Linked DNA regions of Coturnix japonica. The protein of the gene in region 1 purifies or fractionates together with the protein of each later gene. This does not show direct contact. Links are inferred from orthologs where the notes say so. Each region holds a gene or a part of one and is shown on either strand. Other genes may lie near its edges.

Region 1 (5,413 bases):
CTTTATAATCACAGTGCAAATTCAATTAATGCACTTTGCATTCTAGGCAGTTCATCTGCTTTCCTCAGTATTGCATGTAAAATGTATGGCGTGTCTAATAGTTTAGTCTTCATTTTGAACAAGACTGAGTATTTTAGCTGTAATGACAGGATTTAGAAGGATTTTAAGGCAGATAGTGGTTACCCTGAGAAGGCAGGTCAGGACCACTCCTGCACTTTGTGCCCTGAACCAATGATCTCTCTAAGCATTTGCAAAGATTGCTGCTCGTACTGCCCACAACTGTCATGTTAGTGTTCATGTATAGACCTATATCAATTTCAGTTCCTACTAAAGTATTTTCACATTACAGGGACTTTAAAATGAAATAATTCATAGTTAACCTGTGCTGAAGCTAGTTCTGGTTGGGATTTGCAAACTACAAAGATTTACAAATGTTGAACAAATTATATGCAGAGGATACGATTCTGTGACACTTGGTGCCATCTACTGCTCAGTAAATAGAGTTCAGCTTATTATGGAAAGTTTAGGAAGGAACAGAATTGGTTTTAGCTTTTACTTGAACTTATCAGTATAATAGGAGTGAAGCTTTGGGCTCCACGCTCTCTTGAATTTGCTTACTTCTGCAGTAACCTGAACTGTATCGACGTGCAAAAGTTGTGTCACGTCTTTAAACTCTGACGTGCCACATTAGATACAGCTGAATAGAATGGAGCCAGGCCAAGATTCTCCAGGTTGTTTTGTACGTTTGGTTGACAGAAGATCATTTAAAATTGTTTATACTATTTTTTCTCTAACCTGAATTTGCATGGACAGTTTAAACTTCTAAAACTTCAGGAAGACTCTAATTAAAGACTTTTTACCCCAAAGGCAAAATGGCCATTAATGAGAAACAGTAGGTACAATTATCGCTGTACCTATGTGGAGCAGATAACTGATGGAGGACATGGTTCTGTGACTGAGTGGGGGAGGTGGGAGGTTGGTTAAAGGTGAGCACTGCACAGAGGTTGAGCGTTGTGAAGAGCTTGGTGTCAGGATGCTCACGGGGTGACCAGAAGCTACTGAACAGCAGCAGTGCTTGATTCAGTGCTTTGTTGGCAGCATTCTAACTGTCCACAGCTGATTGATGGGCGTTAGCTTGACCATCTCTCTATTCCTAGAAGTAATGATAAGATGATATGGTGTATCTCAGGGTAAATGGAAGTTATTAACTAATTAGCAGGGTCAGTGTGGTAGACAGTCTGATTTTTCAGATAGCTGCATTGGAGCTGGGGCTAAAGGTGTTACACTGCAGCATGTTTTCAAGTTTGTAACTTCCTCAGTAACATAATGCACAGACAGTTCTGCACAGTGGAATTAGAGGTCACTCCTGCTTGCTTGAGTTGGAGAGTTGTGCTGCAGTATGATTGATGGTAGCTGTGCTGTCATGTTTTCACTGAACTCTAGTGGTAGATCTGTGCATCTTTAAAAACATGGCATTTTAGCTAAAGAAATAAGCTTGAGTTGCTGCGTTAATTAATAAATGAGGGTTAAGATGCTGTGTGTACTCAGTTCTTTAGAAAATAAAGGTTGAATATAAAAAGATACCAGTATAACGCTATATACATACACGTACATGCATGCACACTTGTTGGTGATGCTCTGGATTTGGTGTATCAGTCATTCTCAGTTAAGAACCGGTTCTTAAGTATCACTGTACCAAATATTCTTTTAGATGTATTTTTGAAGTGTTAACGTCTGACTCGAAGCAGTCAACTGTAAAAATGCATAAATGATCGTTATTTTATTGAATCAAACTATTTTGTTATTTTGTGAAAAGTCAAATTTGTTTAAATTGTGACATTGTATATGAATTTGCAGTGAATGTGTGACATCTCAGGTAACTGGTTGGTATATGTACACATTGCAAACTTGAAGCGGCAGATTCTCCTCTAAGCAGGGTGAAACTGCAGCCTTGTCAGAAAGCAAAGTGCAAACATGGTATTACTGATTCATATATCTTACTCTAATTATTTTTATTGGGATGTTCCTTGATAGACAAGTGTACTTTGTGGCAAAATACAGTGTTTGTAATGATTAAAGCTTAATGATTCCAGTAATTCCAATACTTAATGCTTTTTGTAAATGTATTTTGTAAAACATGAAATAAACTACAAGTTGAGATTTTTTATTTAGATGTAGTGTGTATGACTCAAATTTGTTTTGAACCACTTCCTTTTCTGTTCTATCTAATAAATACAGTCTTCAACTATTTTACTGTTGATTATCTGATTTCTGAAGTTAAATATTTTCCTCTTCATCATTCTAATGGATTGAGTTGTGGGATGATTTCTTTAGGTTGCTACTTAAGAGCTGACATGGTGAGCATAAAAGAATATCTCAGTATATGAAATTAAGGGAAATAAGGCTTTGACTTATCCTATATTGCTAAGAACAACAAATTTCAGTGCTATTTTTTCTTCAGTCCTCTCCATAAGGGGGGGAAGCAATAATGTTGTTGCTTCCTTGCAGTCATACTCATTAAAATAAAATTAAATTGTTATAAATCTATTTTATTGCAGCATCCCCTTCACTATTCAGCGACTCTGTGAGTTGCTAACAGATCCTAGGAGGAATTACACAGGAACTGACAAATTTCTAAGAGGTGTGGAGAAGGTATGTATTTTTCTGAGAGAACACGCAGCTAAACCATCACAGTTACTATTTGAATGACTTTCAAATTACTACCAAAGGCCTCATGGATTCAGTATGTCTCGGTCATAGAACACCTAATAGCTACTCTTAATTGTGTGAATTGCTTCTGTATATTTTAACTTCAAAAGAGCTTGTGAAACAACTTGTGTAAGCTGTAACTGTTGTGTTTCCTACTCAGTGTACAGTACTCAGACTGTAGTTTCCGGAGGGTATGATGCCACTCTTCGTATTGAGTCCTAATTGAAAACAAATAATCAGCTGGAATAATTTATTTTTTATCTGTTACTTCCTTTCACATTTGGGTTCAGATTAGATGGAGGAGAAGGAATCCTTTCTCCACCACAGTGTCTTTTGTACTGGGTTTTTCAATCCTTTTATGTCACACAGTGTACCTTCATAAAATAGAAGTTTTAATTTGGGAGCTTTCAGAAGTAGATACTGGACTTTCAGAATGTGGTTCCACATTGCATTTTCTTGATAGCAAAATTAGCTTTAAGTTTCTACTCAGAATATCCAGTCAAAGAAAGCTTAACTTTTCAAGAGTTACCTTTTAAAGGGGCCTTTTTTCACTATTGTAGAGGATACAGTCAGATATTCTTGCAAGTTCAGAAGAACATGGTCAGTAATAAATGGTAACATGGATTTTGCAAAGCAATGATCAGCCAAAATGAGTTCTGTGAAGCAGTACCTCAAGTTCAGTCTTTCATTAAGGTTAGTTTGGGTTAATTTAGGTGGCACTGCAGGGGAAAAAAAAAAAGGCCGCATATAATTGTTCTGAGTGTTGATTCCGAGAAGACAAATGTACCTAAATTTTAGGCTGGATTCCGAGATGTTAAAATGGATTTGGTTTTCAGTGCCATTGAAGAGAGAGAGATAAGCAAAACACAATTCGTTATTTCTGCCCTTTTCATGTGGGGTCAGGACAGTGTAACAGTGGAAGTAAGACTGTGCCACAATCAGCTTCTTGTGCTTGGATGCCCATGTGTACAAATGTAGTTTCTTCAGCCATTCAGGAGTTTTCCAGCACTGCAGAACGTTTTGTTTTGCTTTACAAGGACACTTCAATTAAAAGCTGGAAAGGCTTAGGCCTGAGGTTTAGTTTGGTCATCTTCGCAAGTAATCCACTCACAAAAATGCTGGCCTTTAATATAATTATGGTCTGATCTTGCAGAGCAGGAGCCTGACAGTTTTTCTCAATTTTTCCATCTGTTGATATCTCTAAAGAAAACTTGTTTGAAAGCACTTGAGCAGTAACCCTTGAAGTTCTGGGCTGTTGTCAAGAGCAGAAGTTTCCACTTCTGAGCACTTATCACATTTTTTGTGTATTACAGAATGTCATGGTTGTCAGCTGTGTTTATCCGTCTTCGGAGTAAGTATGATGTTCTTCAGTTCCTTGGAACTTCAATGTTGTATAAGTATAGTATAAGTATATATAAAGTGGGTGGAAGAATGAGTGCCTGTGCAATGTGCTTCTCTTCCTGATAGTACCAATATACAAAAGTAAGTACACAGAGTGTGGTTTTCAGTATAAATAGTTCAACAGTAGTAAGAGTGATCTGCACGTGTTTACAGATACGATGTAGTAATTTGGAAACATTTTTTTATTCACAGCATTCTAATTCTTATTTCTTAATTGTATTTGTTTAAGGAAAAATAATTCGAGTAGTTTAAATCGGATGAATGGTGTAATGTTCCCAGGAAATTCACCAGGTTACTCTGAAAGGTAAGTTTAACACCGGGAGTTAATACTTTCAATAAGGTTGTCACAGAAATAGCTAGCTCAGGTCCCTTATGTTTTTACCTATTCTCATCCCAAATAGACAGCGTCTTGGCACGAATACCAACAGAGGGATGGGACAGGAATGGTAGGGATACATGCCATGATCTTATTTGATGCATCTTGTTGCTTAGAACTTTTTTTTTAGTAACCTTGTTGCTTTGAATTTTTTTTACTGTACACTTTTTGTGTTACTGTTTCCATTGGAGGCTTAGTAATTGTATTGAGTAAAATAGGGAAGTGCGCCCACCTCACCATTGTATCTCCCAAGATGTTTTTGGAACTGATTTATAGCTGCTTTCTGCCTGTTTGGAGCAAATTCCTTTTAGAGAAGGATTGGTTGTTTTTTGGAGGATTTTTTCTTTTCTGTATTTGATAATTGATTTATTTTCATTATTTTTAAAGATCAAACGTAAATGGTCCTGGAACTCCCAGACCTGTAAATCGACCGAAGGTTTCTTTGTCAACTCCTATGACAACAAACGGTTTGCCAGACAGCACAGAACATAAAGAATCAAGTTTGCAGCAGACAGAAGATAAGAAACACAGGTTTGTGAGCAGTTAATGCATTTTGAGTTTCTATTATTCTCATCTTTTTTTCCACATACATTTTAAAAATACTTTAAAAGGGAATGGCCTTCCAGGTTACGTGTAGTTAGAGCAATATCTGCAGGAGGGTTCAAATAGTTGCTGACTGCTTTTTGGGCTGAGTAATTGCTGGCTCAGATTTTCAGAGTAACGTATCTTTTATGTGTATAGAATGTACAGTAAAAATGCGGAGTGAATATTAGAGTTCAGAAGTCCAGTTAAATCTGTACCAGGATGATAAAGTGTAACTGGATGTGATATGTCATAAACATTTGCCATTAAAGCTGACAGTAGTAACTGTCTGGAATGTAGAGCAACCAGAGCAGCGTGATCGCTGTATTCTTCAGCAGTCAGGTG
Region 2 (5,413 bases), on another chromosome or scaffold:
CTGTCTTATTTGACCTGGGGAGCCCAGAACTGGACACAGTATTCTAAATGTGGCCTCACCAGGTCAGAGTAGAGAGTGAGGGTCACCTCCTTTGACCTGCTGGCCAGCCTCTTTTTAATTCACCCCAGGATAACACTGGCCTTCTTGGCTACAAGGGCACGTTGTTGGTTCATGGCTTAACAACTCACCTCAATATCCTCCTGACCAGGCATGAAGACAAGGATGTCCCCAGGAGCACCAGACAAATGGACCTGCAGAGCTTGTTTCACTGCAGCCTCCACATAATCCTCTTGCGGTGTCTGAAAGACACAGTTCACATCAGACACTAGTAATCTCATCTGCCCCACTTTGTGTATAAGACTGCAACATAACAGTTATCCCTTGTATTTCCTCTCTGATCACTGCAGAGGGGGGCATACCCAAGTTACAACCCTTACAATCCCTTCACAACACAAACTCTCTCTACTACATTGACCATACCTTGCTGAAAAGAATATCAACAGGAAAGGTGCGCCCAGGAATGTGGAAAATGGGAACATTCCCAAAAAAAGAGGCAAATTTATCAGCATCCATGGTGGCAGAGGTGACAACGAGCTTCAGATCAGAGCGACGTGCTACCACCTAGAAAACAGATAAAAAGGACAATAAACAAGTGGTATTTGTATGTGGGTCCAGGCTTCTTCCATCACTACTGAAAAAAACAGCAAAGGGCTGAGCTTCCACTGTACTCTAGAAACACTAACCACTAATGCCATGGTACGAAAACACACACTGTCCAGTTAAAAAGACAGGCTGTCCCCAGCTGAGAAAGTCTTACACCTGCAAACACCTCTGTAACTAGAGCTACTTTATACCAGCAAGCCTTTGGCAGTACACTAAAGGGGAGATTTAAGAAACAAAGAACAAGATGTTTAAGCATCAAGTGCAGTCAGAGATGCAGCAGTCTCTGTTCATGATCTCTGCTCTGACCTGGGGGAGAAGCACTAACCCTGCCAATATTCTGCCCTAAGACCAGCTCATATGCCCCGTGTTGCTGTCCTCCTGTAGCCCAGGCTCACACACACCTCCCGAAGCAGGCCAAAGAGCACATCAGTATTGAGCGAGCGCTCGTGTGCCTCATCCATGATGATAGCACTGTAGTTGTCCAAGTCAGCCTCTCTCAGCGACTCACGAAGGAGGATCCCATCTGTCATGTATTTGATTATCGTGCTCTCTGACGTGCAGTCTTCAAAGCGGATGGCATAACCCACCTGGGGGGCAGAGATATCAGCAAGTCTTCAACAGCTCTGCATATGCACTGTCTAGAGGCTGCATGCCTACATATGCTGCCAGACTCACCTCCTCTCCCAGACGCACTCCCATCTCTTCACTGACCCGCTTGGCAACCGACATGGCTGCCACTCTGCGGGGCTGCGTGCAGCCAATCATGCCATAGTCTGTGTAGCCATCCTCATGGAGGTACTGCGTCAGCTGAGTTGTTTTACCGCTCCCTGTCTCCCCTACCACAATCACAATGCTGTTGTCCCTGAAGAAAGGGGAACAATATTTATTCATACACCACAAAGACAGCCTTCTTCATTCATAGCCCTGGCTGGCCACACAAAAGCAGTCCTGCTTTGGCAGAAGAGCTGCTATCAATCACACAAAGCAATGAGCTTTGTTTTCAAAGATTCCAAACAGAACACATATCTAGGTAAATTTCTCACTTGGGATCCTGAAATGTAAGCCAAAGCCCCAGGGTTACACTACAACTGGTTACCGAGCAGTCATACCTGAGGATGGAAAGCAGCTCCTGCTGCACAGCAAAGATGGGCAGATATTGTCTCTGCTCCAGAATCGACTTCTTCTTGGCAAACTCACTCCTTGCTTCACTTTTTTCTTTCATGTGTTCAGCAAACTTCTGCTCTGTCCTAAGGAAACATGAGAAGTCTTGAAGCTGTCTCCTCACACACTTTGCTTTGCCTGTAGCATAGGCATAACACCACCAGCTAGGCAGAAATCATCCAAAAGCTCCTACTTGTAATCTACTTTGCCATCTTCTGTCACCATCTCATCCTTCTCCTCTTCCTTCTTGATCCCCATAATGTCTCCCAGTTTTGTGCCTGCCAGCTCCCAGTGTTTATGCTGAGCCTGGAAGCACAAAGAGCAGTGTAAGTACCACAGCGGGGACTGAAAAATCATTCTCCTTCTGTCCTACTCCTAAGGCTAGAAAATCATGTTTGCCTCAATCCCCTGGTGCTTAAGGAGAGAACACACATTTCCTATATCAAGTCTCCATCCTCCAAGCAAACTGGGGCAGAACTTTTTTAGACACTGGTTTGGATAAAGACACAACAAGCACAGGATGATCAACAGCCCTCTATGAATACTGTTTCAGCTGCTGACCCTTCCATTATATTTACACTTAAACAAACAACAATCTGAACCAGAGCTAATCTTCCTACTATTAACAGGTATCGACAGGTACTCTCACCATTCTGTTTTCTCTCACGCTTCATAACAGGACTTCCCACTTTCCACTCACAGTACACCAGCTCAGATTCAGTTTACTATGAACACATCTATGCTTTCCTAACTGCTATCATGTAAGCTTTAGAGAAAGTCTTTCTATTAGGGAAACATCCACAAAGACTAATACACCACCTTCCTGTATATTCTTTCTCAAAAATCTTTTGCTGAGACATGGTGAGATCTGTCCTGCTACCACACTGAATGTTGACTGTGCCTGAGCTACACGGTATTCTTCCACTTGCTCTTCTCTCCCCATCCAAATGCCCTTTGGATCACACTCCCCAGCACAAATGCACAGTAATTAACATCCCAGGCAGTGCCTAAAGAAGTCACAACAGCTACTCGTGAGACAATGCAATGAACTGGACTAACAGGATATGTCAGATCACACAAATAAGGGGAACACATTACCATTACCATCAAAGCTTATATTCTACAAAGTCCAAACAAAAGCTGTGAGGCATTACATAACACGTACAGTGAGGTCTCAACATACCCTTTTACGCTCCTTTTGCTCCCTGTGCTTGCGCACCAACTGGCTGCCCTTTCGGGCTATGATGGCCAAGTCAGAAGTGGCATCCTTTACAGGGATGACTGGCTCTGGCTAAAGGAAAGAGGCATTGCTTCAACACAGAGAGCTCACATTTGTGAGGCTCCCCATCATTGGCACCGTTAGCCACAGCTTCTACCTGTTTTGTGAAGACTATCCTCCCATCTAGGAAAGGAGGCACCAGGTTATGCACCAGCAGATGCACTTTGGCTGAGTTATCCTCTTCAAAATCTTCATCCACTTCAATCCGATGAACCACACCACTGGTCAGCATGCGATTTGTCTCCCAACGCTCGTTATCCTGCAGGAAAGAACATATCAGAAGATTTTAACTATTACCTTCCATTATCCAAAATTCAAGAACCACACATTACCCAAACTAATTCCAAGGCAATAAACTAAGTAACACAGCTAGCTGCAAAGCACTACAACACCATGAGCAAATGAGGATGGCTTCATTTATTCTTAAAAGAAAAAGTTAAAAGCAGTTAACTACTGAAGGCAAATCTGTAACTGACTACAATACACACCACAGTTACAGTACACAGCTTTAAGCACTGAAATGATCCAATGCTGAATCTGTTGGTCTTCCTTCCCCAAAAGGGAAAGAGCTTGGAGACCCAAAGACAAAAATAAGTAAGCCTGGAATGTGGAGGAGTAACACTGAAGGTTACAGAGACCACAAATAAGCATTAGGAAAAGAACACTATCTGAAGACAAGTATGGTAAATGGAGACTAGCCACATAAAGTACGGAGTAAACAGAATTGTCTCAAAGGAAATGGAAGGCAAACAATCTACAACGCCCCTACCATACACTGAATACGTTAGAAAGCCTGGAGACAAACCTACTTTTATGCTGAGGGAAGCAGCTCTGAGAGTCCGCCAGAGGAACAGCAGACAGTCTTAACAATGTAATCTATGCCCCCTGCATAGCATAGCCCTTCAGATTCCTGCAGCTCTGAACACTCATCCACTGCAGTCACTCTAATGGTAAATTCCAACCCATGCAGGAGATGCAGGACTGCACTTTCCAAAGAAACATAACAATAGTTTCCTTTTGAGCCTCTCATTTGGTATAGGCCAGGACAAGGACAGCCTTTTTCCATCTGTCAGCCAAGCCCATCAACAAGTGGGTCTCTCCAGAGGCAACGAAACAAGCAGCCTCTGTACATTCAGAGCAGCCAGCTCCACATCTTGCCCCTACCTCGTTGATCTGCCGCCGCTGTGCAGAGATACGCTTCTGCTTTTGCTTGTGCAAGTGTTGCTCCCGCTTTTTCACATACTCGTCAGAGGAGTAGGCCAAGGGATTGTGAAACTCATCGTAGCCTTCATCCATCATATACCAGTCCCGGTCTGCTTGCTAGGAGGAGAGAGATGCAGCGCTGAGCTGTGTTGCTTGCCCAGCTGGGATAGACTCTAGTGCCAATCCCCACCTGGCTACTGGGAGAAAGCTGCCTACTACCAGTGGCCTGGTACAACACCAGTGACAGACTGAGATCCTGCTGGTGCCTTGGGGTAAGTGGCAGCAGCCAAGAACCTGGTGACTACTGAGCACCCTGCTCCCTACCCAGGCTTCTTACCCGTTGGTCGTCCTCCCACTGCTGACGCTCCTCTTCTGTTTCAAAGGCAATGCCCTCCTCCCCGTCCTCACGCCGCCCTAAAGAAAGTGAGATGGTCAGCACAGGCGACCAGTCCCACCAGGCTGTCGCATGCAGAGGAAATCCCACAAAACCTGTGCTAACGCTACACAGGGGCTCTGTCACCTCCCACTCTAGGCTCCTCACCTCTACCTCTGGACAGTCGTGGTGTGGACCCCAGGTGTTTCCGGTCATCAGCCCACTCATTATATTTGTAGGACGGGGTGGGCAATGGTGTCTTATCTGAATACTTGCTCCTTACAGACCTGAGAAAACAGCACAAGAGAGAAATCAGTGCACAAATACAGGTGTTCATTTTACACGTTCCCTTTCTCGCAGATCACCAAATCACAGCCTGTATGCCCAACTACTGATACCTGTCCCGGTCTCTCCGATCTGTGTCCCGTGACGCCCGGTGGCTGCGCTCTGAGTCTCGATAGGAAGGTGTGGGAGAAGGAGACTCCCACTGCGAGCGGCGGGAACTGCTGCAACCACTATCATCCTCCTCCCAGCTGGAGCGAGACGGTGTGGCTGCATCTAGCAGAGGAGATTGAGTTTGACGTACAGTGTTCAAACAGTGACCCTAAGAACCTAGGGCCACTTTATACCTTCTAACAAGGAGCACAGAGAGGGTTCCCATCTGCTCTCCTTCTAAAGGTGTTAAAACACATCAACTCCAAGGAAAACTGCCAAAGGATCACATCTCTATCACA

The links.
Region 2: the proteins of PPP4R2 (region 1) and DHX38 purify together in Homo sapiens (affinity purification with mass spectrometry; 3 studies listed by BioGRID and IntAct, counting the BioPlex papers as one, with this or other methods). This does not show direct contact. The link is inferred for Coturnix japonica from reciprocal best matches to the Homo sapiens genes PPP4R2 and DHX38.

What each region holds. Positions count from the first base shown.
Region 1 is NC_029527.1:13,944,168-13,949,580, forward strand, and holds part of PPP4R2 (serine/threonine-protein phosphatase 4 regulatory subunit 2), read left to right. Parts: intron 1-2,558; coding exon 2,559-2,652; intron 2,653-4,022; coding exon 4,023-4,060; intron 4,061-4,339; coding exon 4,340-4,414; intron 4,415-4,873; coding exon 4,874-5,017; intron 5,018-5,413. UniProt on the Homo sapiens protein: Regulatory subunit of serine/threonine-protein phosphatase 4 (PP4). May regulate the activity of PPP4C at centrosomal microtubule organizing centers.
Region 2 is NC_029526.1:17,617,439-17,622,851, forward strand, and holds part of DHX38 (pre-mRNA-splicing factor ATP-dependent RNA helicase PRP16), read right to left. Parts: intron 5,238-5,413; coding exon 5,078-5,237; intron 4,967-5,077; coding exon 4,848-4,966; intron 4,721-4,847; coding exon 4,644-4,720; intron 4,424-4,643; coding exon 4,268-4,423; intron 3,363-4,267; coding exon 3,201-3,362; intron 3,116-3,200; coding exon 3,008-3,115; intron 2,131-3,007; coding exon 2,018-2,130; intron 1,911-2,017; coding exon 1,773-1,910; intron 1,526-1,772; coding exon 1,339-1,525; intron 1,251-1,338; coding exon 1,065-1,250; intron 622-1,064; coding exon 481-621; intron 300-480; coding exon 189-299; intron 1-188. UniProt on the Homo sapiens protein: Probable ATP-binding RNA helicase. Involved in pre-mRNA splicing as component of the spliceosome.